2 linked regions of the Caenorhabditis elegans genome follow. The protein of the gene in region 1 purifies or fractionates together with the protein of each later gene. This does not show direct contact. Each region holds a gene or a part of one and is shown on either strand. Other genes may lie near its edges. The genes, in order: mtg-1 and cpi-1.

What was found.
Region 2: the proteins of mtg-1 (region 1) and cpi-1 fractionate together in Caenorhabditis elegans (co-fractionation; one large-scale study listed by BioGRID). This does not show direct contact.

Annotation. Positions count from the first base shown.
Region 1 is NC_003281.10:1,531,935-1,538,993, reverse strand, and holds mtg-1 (CP-type G domain-containing protein), read right to left. Parts: upstream 5,113-7,059; 5' UTR 5,102-5,112; coding exon 5,053-5,101; intron 4,994-5,052; coding exon 4,872-4,993; exon of another isoform or gene 4,770-4,871; intron 4,692-4,769; coding exon 4,570-4,691; intron 4,173-4,569; coding exon 4,095-4,172; intron 3,650-4,094; coding exon 3,478-3,649; intron 3,322-3,477; exon of another isoform or gene 3,272-3,321; intron 2,526-3,271; coding exon 2,225-2,525; intron 1,069-2,224; coding exon 866-1,068; 3' UTR 796-865; downstream 1-795. Other genes in the region: Y67D2.5 (N-acetyltransferase 9-like protein), read left to right, coding at 281-484; snf-6 (Sodium-dependent acetylcholine transporter), read left to right, coding at 6,226-6,324, 6,709-6,802.
Region 2 is NC_003282.8:6,091,823-6,095,520, forward strand, and holds cpi-1 (Cystatin cpi-1), read right to left. Parts: upstream 1,811-3,698; 5' UTR 1,796-1,810; coding exon 1,694-1,795; intron 1,402-1,693; exon of another isoform or gene 1,380-1,401; intron 1,247-1,379; coding exon 1,175-1,246; intron 1,100-1,174; coding exon 854-1,099; 3' UTR 781-853; downstream 1-780. Other genes in the region: K08B4.7 (Cystatin), read right to left, coding at 36-131, 425-526. UniProt on the Caenorhabditis elegans protein: Cysteine protease inhibitor which inhibits members of the peptidase C1 family. Does not inhibit asparaginyl endopeptidase. May play a protective role against exogenous cysteine proteases derived from soil bacteria or fungi, or rotting fruits and vegetation.

The sequences.
Region 1 (7,059 bases):
TCTCGATTTTGAGCTGAAATTCGAGTTCTCCACACTTTCAGCGTCAAAATGACCCCCATCATGTCCTGGTTCCGCGCAATTTGAAAATTTTGGGTCTCGCCACGCGGGTTACTGTAGCACCGATATCAGCTGTGTCGGTTGTCAAATTGAACGGAATATGGTCGTGTTGGGGGTCATTTTGAAGCTGAAAATGAGGAGAATAAGAATTTTGACATGGTTTTTGACAGTTTTGAAAAATGAGCAAAAAAAATATTTTTTTCGAAAATTTTCAATTTTTCAGAATCTGAAAATCGAGCAATTCTGCGTAAAAATTACCGATGACAACACACCAAGCCTGAGCCTATTCAAGAAGAAACTAGGATTCAAACAAATCGGCTATAGCACTGCTTTCAAGGAATTCACATTTGAATTGCCGAAAAATCGATTGATTTCTGAATTTTCGAGTTTTTTGGAGAAAAATGCAGAAATTAAGGAGTATAAATAATTATTTGTGTACTTTTACATTGAAAATAAATGTTTTTCAAAAAAAAAAAATTTTTTGTAAAAATTTTTTTCACTATATTTTTTACAAAATTCCAAAATTCTGTGTTCAGAAGCTTTTTTTAATGCAAAATATATCAAAAAATTGAGATAAAAGCCTTAAAACCACTCGATAATCCAATTTTCCGCCAAAAACTACGACACTCCGCTAGTACGCCACAGCGCGTGTTGTTTAGCAGCCCGGGAATTCAAATTTTTTACTTACAATTGAGGTTTTATCCCGTTTTTTGCCGATTTTAATGGGGAAAAATCATTAAAAATGCAGTTTTTATCAAATATTTCTAAAAATAACAACAAAAAACATGAAAAATCAACGAAAAATCTCCTAATTTCGATACAAAAAATGCTCATTATCGAGGCAAGAATCCTTGAATTTTCGATTTCTGTAGAGTTGAATGAAATATTTGGCGGCTCGATCAAAATCCCATCTTTCTCCAATACTTTGTTGAATTCTAAAGTCATTTGCAGCGCAAGTTAGGGCCAAAACTTGCTGAATATCATCAATTGGAGCCTGTTTCGGCGAAATATCTGCAAAAATCAAAGGTTTTTGGAGTTTTTTCACTGGAAAAAATCGAAAATTTACGTCCAAATTCGCCCAAATTTGATAAAAATTCGTTTTTTTTCTCACTAAAACTCAGTTTTTACTGCCGATTTTCACCCGAAACTCGATTTTTTTGGCTTCCTAGCTAAATTTTGAATTTCGAGGGGGGTACGGTAGCTCCGAAAGTACGCAAAAACTGAATTTTACGAAATTTTGCACGAATTGGCTGAAAAAGCGGTCAGAGGGGGCTATAAACCTGCGGGGAATTCGAATTTTGGCATGAAAATTTAGGAAAAATAATTTTAAACTTGGAAATTTTGAATTTTTAATGAAAACTTTTTTTTGCAGAATTTTCCAGGATTTTTCAGCAGTTTTCACACTAAAATTCGAATTCCCCGTTGAATTTCACACCGCGGGGACCTATTTCGGGGCTTCTAACCCTATTTTTAAATTTCGAGGGGTACGGTAGCGCCAAAAGTACGCAAACACCTGCTAGGCACCGAACCTTACGACAATTCGTCCGAACCTTACGACAATTCGTCATAGCTTCCGCATGTCCGAGTGACAAATGTGCTCTATTGTCAAATTGTTGCCAGAAATACGGTATTTATTCACATTTTCAGCCCAATTTAAGACTGAAAATGTGAATAAATACTCGTTTTTATGCCAGAAATCTGAGAAACGCACAAGTCACAGGGGAAATATCGAGTTTTTGTGGAAATTTAAAATTTTGAAATTTGAAATTCCAAAATATTTGAAAATCTGAATATTTCATCAAAATTCAATTGATAGAGTGAAAAATCACAAGTTTTTGAAAAAAAAAATCAATTAAAAATTTTTCCCAACTTTTTTTAATTAAAAAATTCGGTTTTTTCGGGGATTTTAGGAATGTAAACTGAAAATTTTTCGGTTTTTCAGTTAAAATCCTTTTTATTGCCCCATTATTTGAGATAAAAATCGATAAAAATGGTTTGAAACCACCATGGTGGCCTAGAAATCCCAAAAGGTAGGCCACCAATCTATTTTGTGCGAAAACCGCAATTTCTAGGTGTAAAAATGAGTGAGAAACTCAATTTTTAACTCAAAATTCGAGAAAAATCAATAGAAATATCGATCTTTAGGGTTTTTTTCCTCAAAATTCACCTAAATTTTCCTCATTTTTCTCGGAATTTTTCCTGAATTTCTGATTAATTCCCAGCAGCTCCAAATATGAAAAATCCTCCGATCGATTAAGCCAAAAGAGCAAGAAATCAGCCAAATAATACAAATTAACATGACTTTCTAGTACTAAATCACACATTGCCAGTTTCATAGCATCTTCGACATTTCGATGATTTGGTGATAGTACTCCGGGTGTATCAATAATGTAGACGGGCGGTTTGTCGAGAATTCGGACCCGATTTTGGACACGGACCGTTACTCCTGGTCTCGCGCCGGCTTCTACCTGAAAATTTGAGATTTTTAGTGAAATTTTGAGATTTTTAGTGAAATTTTGAGATTTTTAGTGAAATTTTGAGATTTTTAGTGAAATTTTGAGATTTTTAGTGAAATTTTGAGATGTTTAGTGAAATTTTGAGATGTTTAGTGAAATTTTGAGATTTTTAGTGAAATTTTGAGATTTTTAGTGAAATTTTGAGATTTTTAGTGAAATTTTGAGATTTTTAGTGAAATTTTGAGATGTTTAGTGAAATTTTGAGATGTTTAGTGAAATTTTGAGATTTTTAGTGAAATTTTGAGATTTTTAGTGAAATTTTGAGATGTTTAGTGAAATTTTGAGATTTTTAGTGAAATTTTGAGATTTTTAGTGAAATTTTGAGATGTTTAGTGAAAATTTGAAATTTTTAGTGAAAATTAGGAATTTTTGTGTAATTTTGAGACTTTTATTGAAAAATTAGGATTTTTAGTGAAAATTTAAGATTTTCAGTAGAAAAATGACACTTTTCGCACTGGAGCGCACTTGCAACATGTGGTCGGCGGGACTTTGAATTTTCAGACGATTTTTGTCAATTTTAAGGGGTTTTTAGACGAATTTTCAGTGCAAAATTTGAAATTTAGGTTAAAGTTCGAATAATTGCAAAAAAAAACCGAAAAAAACGATTTTTTAAGTAAAAATCCATGTTTTCAAAGTTGGTGGCCTAGAAAACCAAAACTCGGCCACCAACTTCTCCTCATTGAATTACTGACGTCACCAGCTTCAAAATGAGCCCCAACATGCCCAGGTTCCGTTGATTTTGAACTTTGGAAGTTTTCGACACAGATGAAACCGGTGCTACAGTAACCCGCGTGGCGAGACCCAAAAATTTTCAAAATGCGCGGAACCAGGGCATGTTGGGGGTCATTTGAAAGCTGGAGACGTGGGCGATTCGAATTTTCGGGTCTTGAAGCGATTTTCTCACAGCTTTACGCTTAATTCCGAGCGTATGTGTTCGAATCGCGTTGATTAGGGATGATTTTCCGACATTCGGGATTCCGACGACCATTGCCTGATATTCTGTTTTGACGGTTCGATTGAAACGTGGCGTATTCTCCAAAGCGTCTAACATTGACAGCTTCACATCGTTCAGAGCTCTTGAAATTTGCAGTTTAGTAGGGAAATTTCGGCATTTTCCAGCAATTTTCTGCATTTTTCAGAATTTTTCAGAATTTTTATGCATTTTTCTGAATTTTTATGCATTTTTCAGAATTTTTCAGAATTTTTATGCATTTTTCTGAATTTTTATGCATTTTTCTGAATTTTTATGTATTTTTCTGAATTTTTATGCATTTTTCTGAATTTTTATGTATTTTTCTGAATTTTTATGTATTTTTCTGAATTTTTATGTATTTTTCTGAATTTTTATGTATTTTTCTGAATTTTTATGCATTTTTATGCTTTTTTCAGATTTTTTCAGAATTTTTATGCATTTTTCTGAATTTTTATGCATTTTTCAGAATTTTTATGCATTTTTCTGAATTTTTATGCATTTTTCAGAATTTTTATGCATTTTTCTGAATTTTTCAGCTCCAAAATCACCTTGGAAGCCGTTTTTTGCAGTCTGTGAATAAAACTTTTTGAACGCCCCGCTCGTAGTAATAATCCTCGATTTGGTGCCTGAAAATGGGGAATTTTTGAGAAAATTTCGGATTTTACAGCGTTTTTTCCGAAAAAAAGGTAAAAAGAATCGATTTTTCTTCATTTTTTATAAAAATCCGGTCGAATTTCACCCAGAAATCGTTAAAAAAGTGCAAAAAATCGCGCTAAAATAGCCAAAAATTCGAATTTCCCGCCACTAGTCCACTGGAGCGCACTTGCACTGCGCGGTCGGCGGGAATTCAAATTTTTAGGTGATTAAAGTGGATTTTTGTCGGAAAATCGCAATTTTTGACTAAATTCGTTGAGAAAAAGCCGAATTTCGTCGAAAAAATCCAAAATTTTTCGGAGAAATTCTGAAAATCTTGATTTTTCAAGCGTTTTTTCCGGATTTTTTCGAATTTTTCCGGGTTCTCACTTGTATTTCTTCATATCTATCAAGTCACACTTGTTCAGGACGAGAATATGCGGTCGAATAGCGTATAAATGTCGAAAAAACTGCTGATTTCGGCCGGTAATCGGGATTCTGGCGTCGTGGACCTGGAAAAAATGTCGATTTTTGCAATATTTCCCGATTTTTCAACTTTTATAGGCGGAAAAATTCACTAAAATTCTTACACCAGTTTTTTACACCAGTTTTTCGGTTTTTCAGCGTTTTTCCGGTGATTTTACAGATTTTCCAAAAAAAAAATCGTAAAAGTTCCATTTTCCATGCAAAACCTCAATTATCAAGTCGACGGATCGCAATTTCGCTTCCATTTTTTTCAATTGTACGGACATATGCATTGGAAACCACTGCCGATAGTCATATTGCGCGGGAAGTTCGAATTGTTGGCGAAATTCTGAAAAGAATTGCGATTTCCGCGCGGAAAACTGAGTAAATAATGGGGTTTTCGGGTACCTGGAGTGGAAATTCGATATGTTGTGTGCAGAAATCGACGAAAATTCATATTTTTTAACTGGAATTTGAAAAAAAATTGAGAAAAAATTGTGAAAACAATTTTTTCCTGTAAAAAATCAAAAAATAACCTGAAATTGCATGATTCGTACTCTGCGTCTCTGCTCTCTCATGCGTAGCAATGGAGCGCAATTGCAGAGTCAATTTTTAATAACTTTGGAAAATCCTAATTTTCACCATTTTTAAGGGATTTTTTACAATTGAAAATGCGAAAAACAAACAGAAAATGTTTTTAGCCGCATTTTGACACCAAAAACTACACAAATTACTCCCCAGAGAAATATAGATTTTTCGAGAAAAACTTGATTTCAAGAAAAACTGTGATTTTTGGAGTCTTCGTGATTTTTAGAGTTTTTCTAGTGGATTTTCGGTTTGCACCGGTATTAGTTTTAAAATGTTGGTATTCTCCTGAAAAATTCAAAAAAAAACTAACAATTTCCGGTGTTTTCTGGTATTTTCTCTGTAAAAATGGTTTTTTTTTGTTTAAATCTTATTTCTTTCATAATAAATGCTTTATTCAACCAACAAAGATGCTTCCAAACCCAATTTAATTTATTTCATCAGAATTTCCATTTCAAACACCCGCCAACAAGCGATTTCTCAATGGAGCGCGTTTGCATTGGCAACCTGGAACATTTTTATTTTCCAGAGCGGTTTTTCGTGAAAAACGTAAATTTTTCATTAAAATTTTCGATTTTTATAATTAAAATTGAATTCTGGAAGTGAGTTGCAGCATTTTGACCCCAAAAATCTAAAATTTGACCCGAAAATTATTGATTTTCAGCTAAAAACTCATTAAAACCGATTTATAGCCAATTTTTTCCTGAAATAAACTAATTTTTCCCACATTTTCCCACAATTTCTCACTTTTTCATTCGTTTTCCCCGGCTTTTCACGTATGTTTTCAATTCGGGCGAGCCAACTGCTTCCGAAATTTGTGTAACAACGGGCCGCCGCGTCGCCTCGTTTCTCTTTCGTTTTTACTCTAAAATTCGTATTTTTCTTCGCAATCTCTTGCTAAATAGCTCAAAAAATCGTGAAAATTGCTAATTTTCAGGTTTTAAACCGACGAAAAATCGATTTTTCCAAGAAAAACCGAGTTTTTCCACACCGAAAATGTCGGTTTCGAGCAACGATCCGGAGCAGAGGAATGGACGGGGCATGGCAAGCGGAAACAACGTGGATATGAGCCTATATCCTCCGTTTATTAAGCAGGTTTGTGGAAAAATTCGGAAAATTCGAGAAAAACGGATAATTTTGACGTTTTTCCCGAAAAATTTGGATGATTATCGATTTTTTGTGAAAAATTCCAAAAAAACCACAAAATTTGATGAAAATTTCCACTAATTTTTGTCCTAAAACCAATAAAATCATTGAATTTGCTGAAAAATTGCCGAAAAAATAAATAAAATCAAATTCCCCGCCACTAGTCCGCTGGAGCGCACTTGCTCCACGCGGTCGGCGGGAATTCAAATTTCCGTTTGATCTACGGCGGGAAACGACCAATTCCCGCCATTTTGTTAAAGATTTCAGCGAGAATTTTGAGTTTTTAGGGAAAAAACTGATTTTTTCGCAAAAAAAACCCTGAAATTTTTCAAGCTCGACGCAAAATTGCCCGATTACACACGAGAAGGTGACATCGAATATCCATTCGAAGAGATTACGGGTGTCGGAGACGAAAATAGGATACGAGGTGCGACAAAAATCCACGTTTTTCGATTTGGTGGCCTTCAAATCCAAAACTCGGCCACCAAACTGTTTTCATTGAATTCGCCACGTCAGCAGCTTTTGAATGACCCCCAACATGACCAGAATACGTTGATTTTGAGCTTTTGTAGTTTCGACACAGCTGAAACCGGTGCTACAGTACCCCGCGTGGCGAGACCCGAATTTTTCAAATTGCACGGAAACAGGGCATGATGGGGGTCATTTTGAAGCTGGAGACGTGAA
Region 2 (3,698 bases), on another chromosome or scaffold:
CCCATAGCTTTTCCCAAATGGACACTTTGTAAAGTTCACGCTTTCCACCAAAAATAAACCTTAATTGGGACCATATAGTTTTGTTCAATACTGTTACTGTTTATTTCCGGTACCGATTTCCAAGCAGTTCCCTGAAAATGCACAATAAATAGTTTTTTTAAACGTTGATCTGAACATCTCAATAAAAACATGTAATTAAAAACTATACTAGGAAAGGAAGAATACCAATTATATAATCTTCGTTTCAAAATGCACGAAAATTCTTAAAATTCGACTACTGTTTCAATCTACTTATATTATTGGAAAGAACGTAGCGCGAGTGATAGTTTCGCTTTTAAATTAAGAAACTCAAATTATTCCAATTTCTGAGCTTTAAAAGTTTCCAACGCACAATTTTAAAATGCACTACAAAAAGAAAACTTACGGTATACTCGGAAGCGTTCAGATTAGAAAATCCACCAAGAACTTGACAATTCATTCCATCAAGAACAGCAAAAAGAAGTGCGATAGAAAGAATAAAACGCATTTTTGTCTCAAAGTATATCAACATTCGTTTGCTTTTATAGGAGTGAGAGGGAGTGCGTGATGAACAGGACACAGCAAAAGATCAAGGGTTTGATTCAAAAAAAAATCGATCATCGCAACAGGTATGACTCATTGTCTTCCCATGGACAATTGATTTTCAACGGAATATAATGATATAATTTCAAAAAATATTTTCTTCAGATGTATATTAGGGTTTTAGCTGGAAAGAAAAGTACGTAACGCAGCAACTATTTTCAAAAACCAAAGTTCTTTATTAGCAATTTTTTAAAATAGTACAGAAAGCAAGAATACATTCACCAGATTTAATTTAAATTTTTTCATCAGGTTTCACACCTCTGATTTTTTCAGCCTTAGTTTGCTTGAAGTTTTCCCATGGTTTCTCCCAAATGGACACTTTGTAAAGTTCACGCTTGCCACCAGACTTCAATGGACAATTTGCAGCAGTGACTTGAGAAGCTTGAACTGATCCTTGTCTCGGACAAGTTGACTCTCCAACAAGAACTTCCAAAACTGTATTGGTTCCGGCAACAACTTGAACTTGAGCTTTAACAACCTAAATAAGAGTGTTATAAAAGCGCAAAGTATTATTTTTTGAACAGCATTTTTTGCCTCTGAGGAGTAAACCTACCTTAATTGGAACCATGTAGTTTTGTCCATTATTCTTACTGTTTATTTCCGGCACCGAATTCCAAGCTGCTCCCTGAAAACTCATAACTAAAAGTGCATATATATTTTAAATTGAAAATTACGGTAACCAAAATCTTTTTTCGAAATATGAATTTTTTCACTGTTTCACAGTTTACATTTGTGCACAAAATTTTTAAATGATACTGTTCAACCAGTAGACATTTATTAAAATTTTGCGCGAAGTGCCAATTAGTTTTGAATAGCAGTTTTGAAATTAAAACTCTTAATTTTAATTTGTTTTATAAGCATTTTGAGTCGTAATTGAATTTTTCAAAGCGCTAAATTTTTATTCCAGTTTTTTTTGTTTAAAAAAATGAATTTATCGAATATTGAAAGAAATTAAAATTATAGTAAACCGGACTAAGTATCCTAAGAGTAAGTATCAACTATAGTTTTAAAAAATATAAGAAATCTTCACAAAATGAGCATTTTCTCAACAAAAAGCCTAAGTAAAACTTACAGTATACTCAGAGGCATTCACATCAGACAATCCACCAGCAATTTGGCAATTTATTCCGTCAAGAACAGCGAAAACAAGTGCGATAAGAAGAATGAAACGCATTTTTATTTTTGTCACAAAATATGTCAACATTCGTTTGCTTTTATAAGAGTCAGTTGGTGAGTGATAAGAGCGAGACAGCTAAAGATCAACAATTTGATTGAAAAAAGAGAAAGAATCGATCATTGCAACAGCTATGACTCATTATCTTCCTTTGGAAAGTTTGTTTACAACTGAATATGATGATATCATTTCATAAATTATTTTCGACTTTTGCATGTTCTGTTTTTCTGGAAAAAAGTGCCGCTTCAGGAATTCTTGCAGAGTTTTTTTGCACCTGAAAGCAATGATAGAAATTCCAGAGCTTCTGAAAATGAAGTAACAAGGCATGAGTTCAAAACTACGTTTTAGTTCAAAAAATATTTACAAAATTTTGTATAAATAATTTACTGTTTCACATTCAAGTTAAGTGAACTTGTTTTAAATGAAGGGCTGTTCCAATCTTTCAGAACTGAAGAACTTTATTTTTAGAAAAGCGAATTTTACCTTCACATGATTTTATAAAGCCACACGATGTTTTCCGTGTGGATCTTGCCACGATCTTAGTCAACACATAATAATCATTTACTATATATAAAGCGCGTGTCCTTCTGTCCCTATGTAGTTTGATCTCTGATCAGAGCGACGAAATTTTGGGAAACCTTATGCTAAATGCGCAGCAGACATCGATCGAGGTCCGCGATAGACACCGTATATCTAATGTGTTTTCTCAAAAAAGTCGGGGGCCGCGCCGTAGGTGCGGTCCACGGCTGGTAATTAATAATTTATTACGCTCTCTGGGAGACGTGAAAGAATACAATAGTTATCAAGGTTTGCGTGATTGGGGCAGCCGGGCAGTCGTTTCCATTCCATTAAAATGTTGTCTGTCGGCCACCCGGGTCAAAAACATCCCGCATTGGTTAATTAGCTACGGAAGTTTAATATCATGAAGTTTCATATCGTCAAAGAAAGACAGAATTCACAGTCATTGTTAAAACACCATAGTTTCCTCAAAGCGATCGTACCGTATTACGGGAACAAGAAATCATGAGAACGCGTACTTGGTGCTTTTATTTGACCCGGGATATCTCTTAGCGAAAACTACAGTAAGAACTCAAATAACAATAAATATTTAAGCTCTTACTGTAGTTTTCGCTAAGAGATATCGCGCGTCAAATAAAATGCACCAAGTACGCATTATCATGCTTTATTGTTCCCGTAATATACATATCTTAATCACTTACAGTACAATCGCGGCGAGATTTAAAAGTAAAGACTAAAATCAAAAGTTCTACCGAAACTGTATCAAAATAACAGCATGTGATCGGAAAAAAGTATTGTTTTAATAAAACATGCGCTTTGTATGTGACTTTTTTCAATTAGCAAGAAAAGATAATGAAATAAAAATCAACAATACCTTACGAATTAGGCTGCATTTTGGGTCGGAGAGATTTTGTGTAAATTTACGGCGCGTTGCGTGTGGCTTCGCGGCTCGTTTTTAGTTACAACTAGTTGTAAAACTGATGTATTTGTCCGTGTGGAGTACACACACAACTCATCTCCACGCGTAGAAAAATCGGATGTTCAAACGAAAGTTCGTTTGAACATCCGATTTTTCACAATAATTACCGAAAACTACGGTCGACAATGAGAAAATTCAAAATGTACGCAAACACCGCCACGTTAAAATGCACAAAATTTTCAAATTGAAAAATATTTTAAATTTTACTTCTCGATTTTCAACGATTTCTCTTCGTTTCCACTGTTATTTCTTGTAATTTTTGTTATAATTGATGAAAATAACATTCAGAAATTTCAGGAAATGCCTCTCGCCTACTCAACACACGATAATTTCTACGAATCGCCGAAAACACCGCAGCCAACCTGGGATCACGTGCACGCACAGTTTCCGTAAGTTTTTTATTGA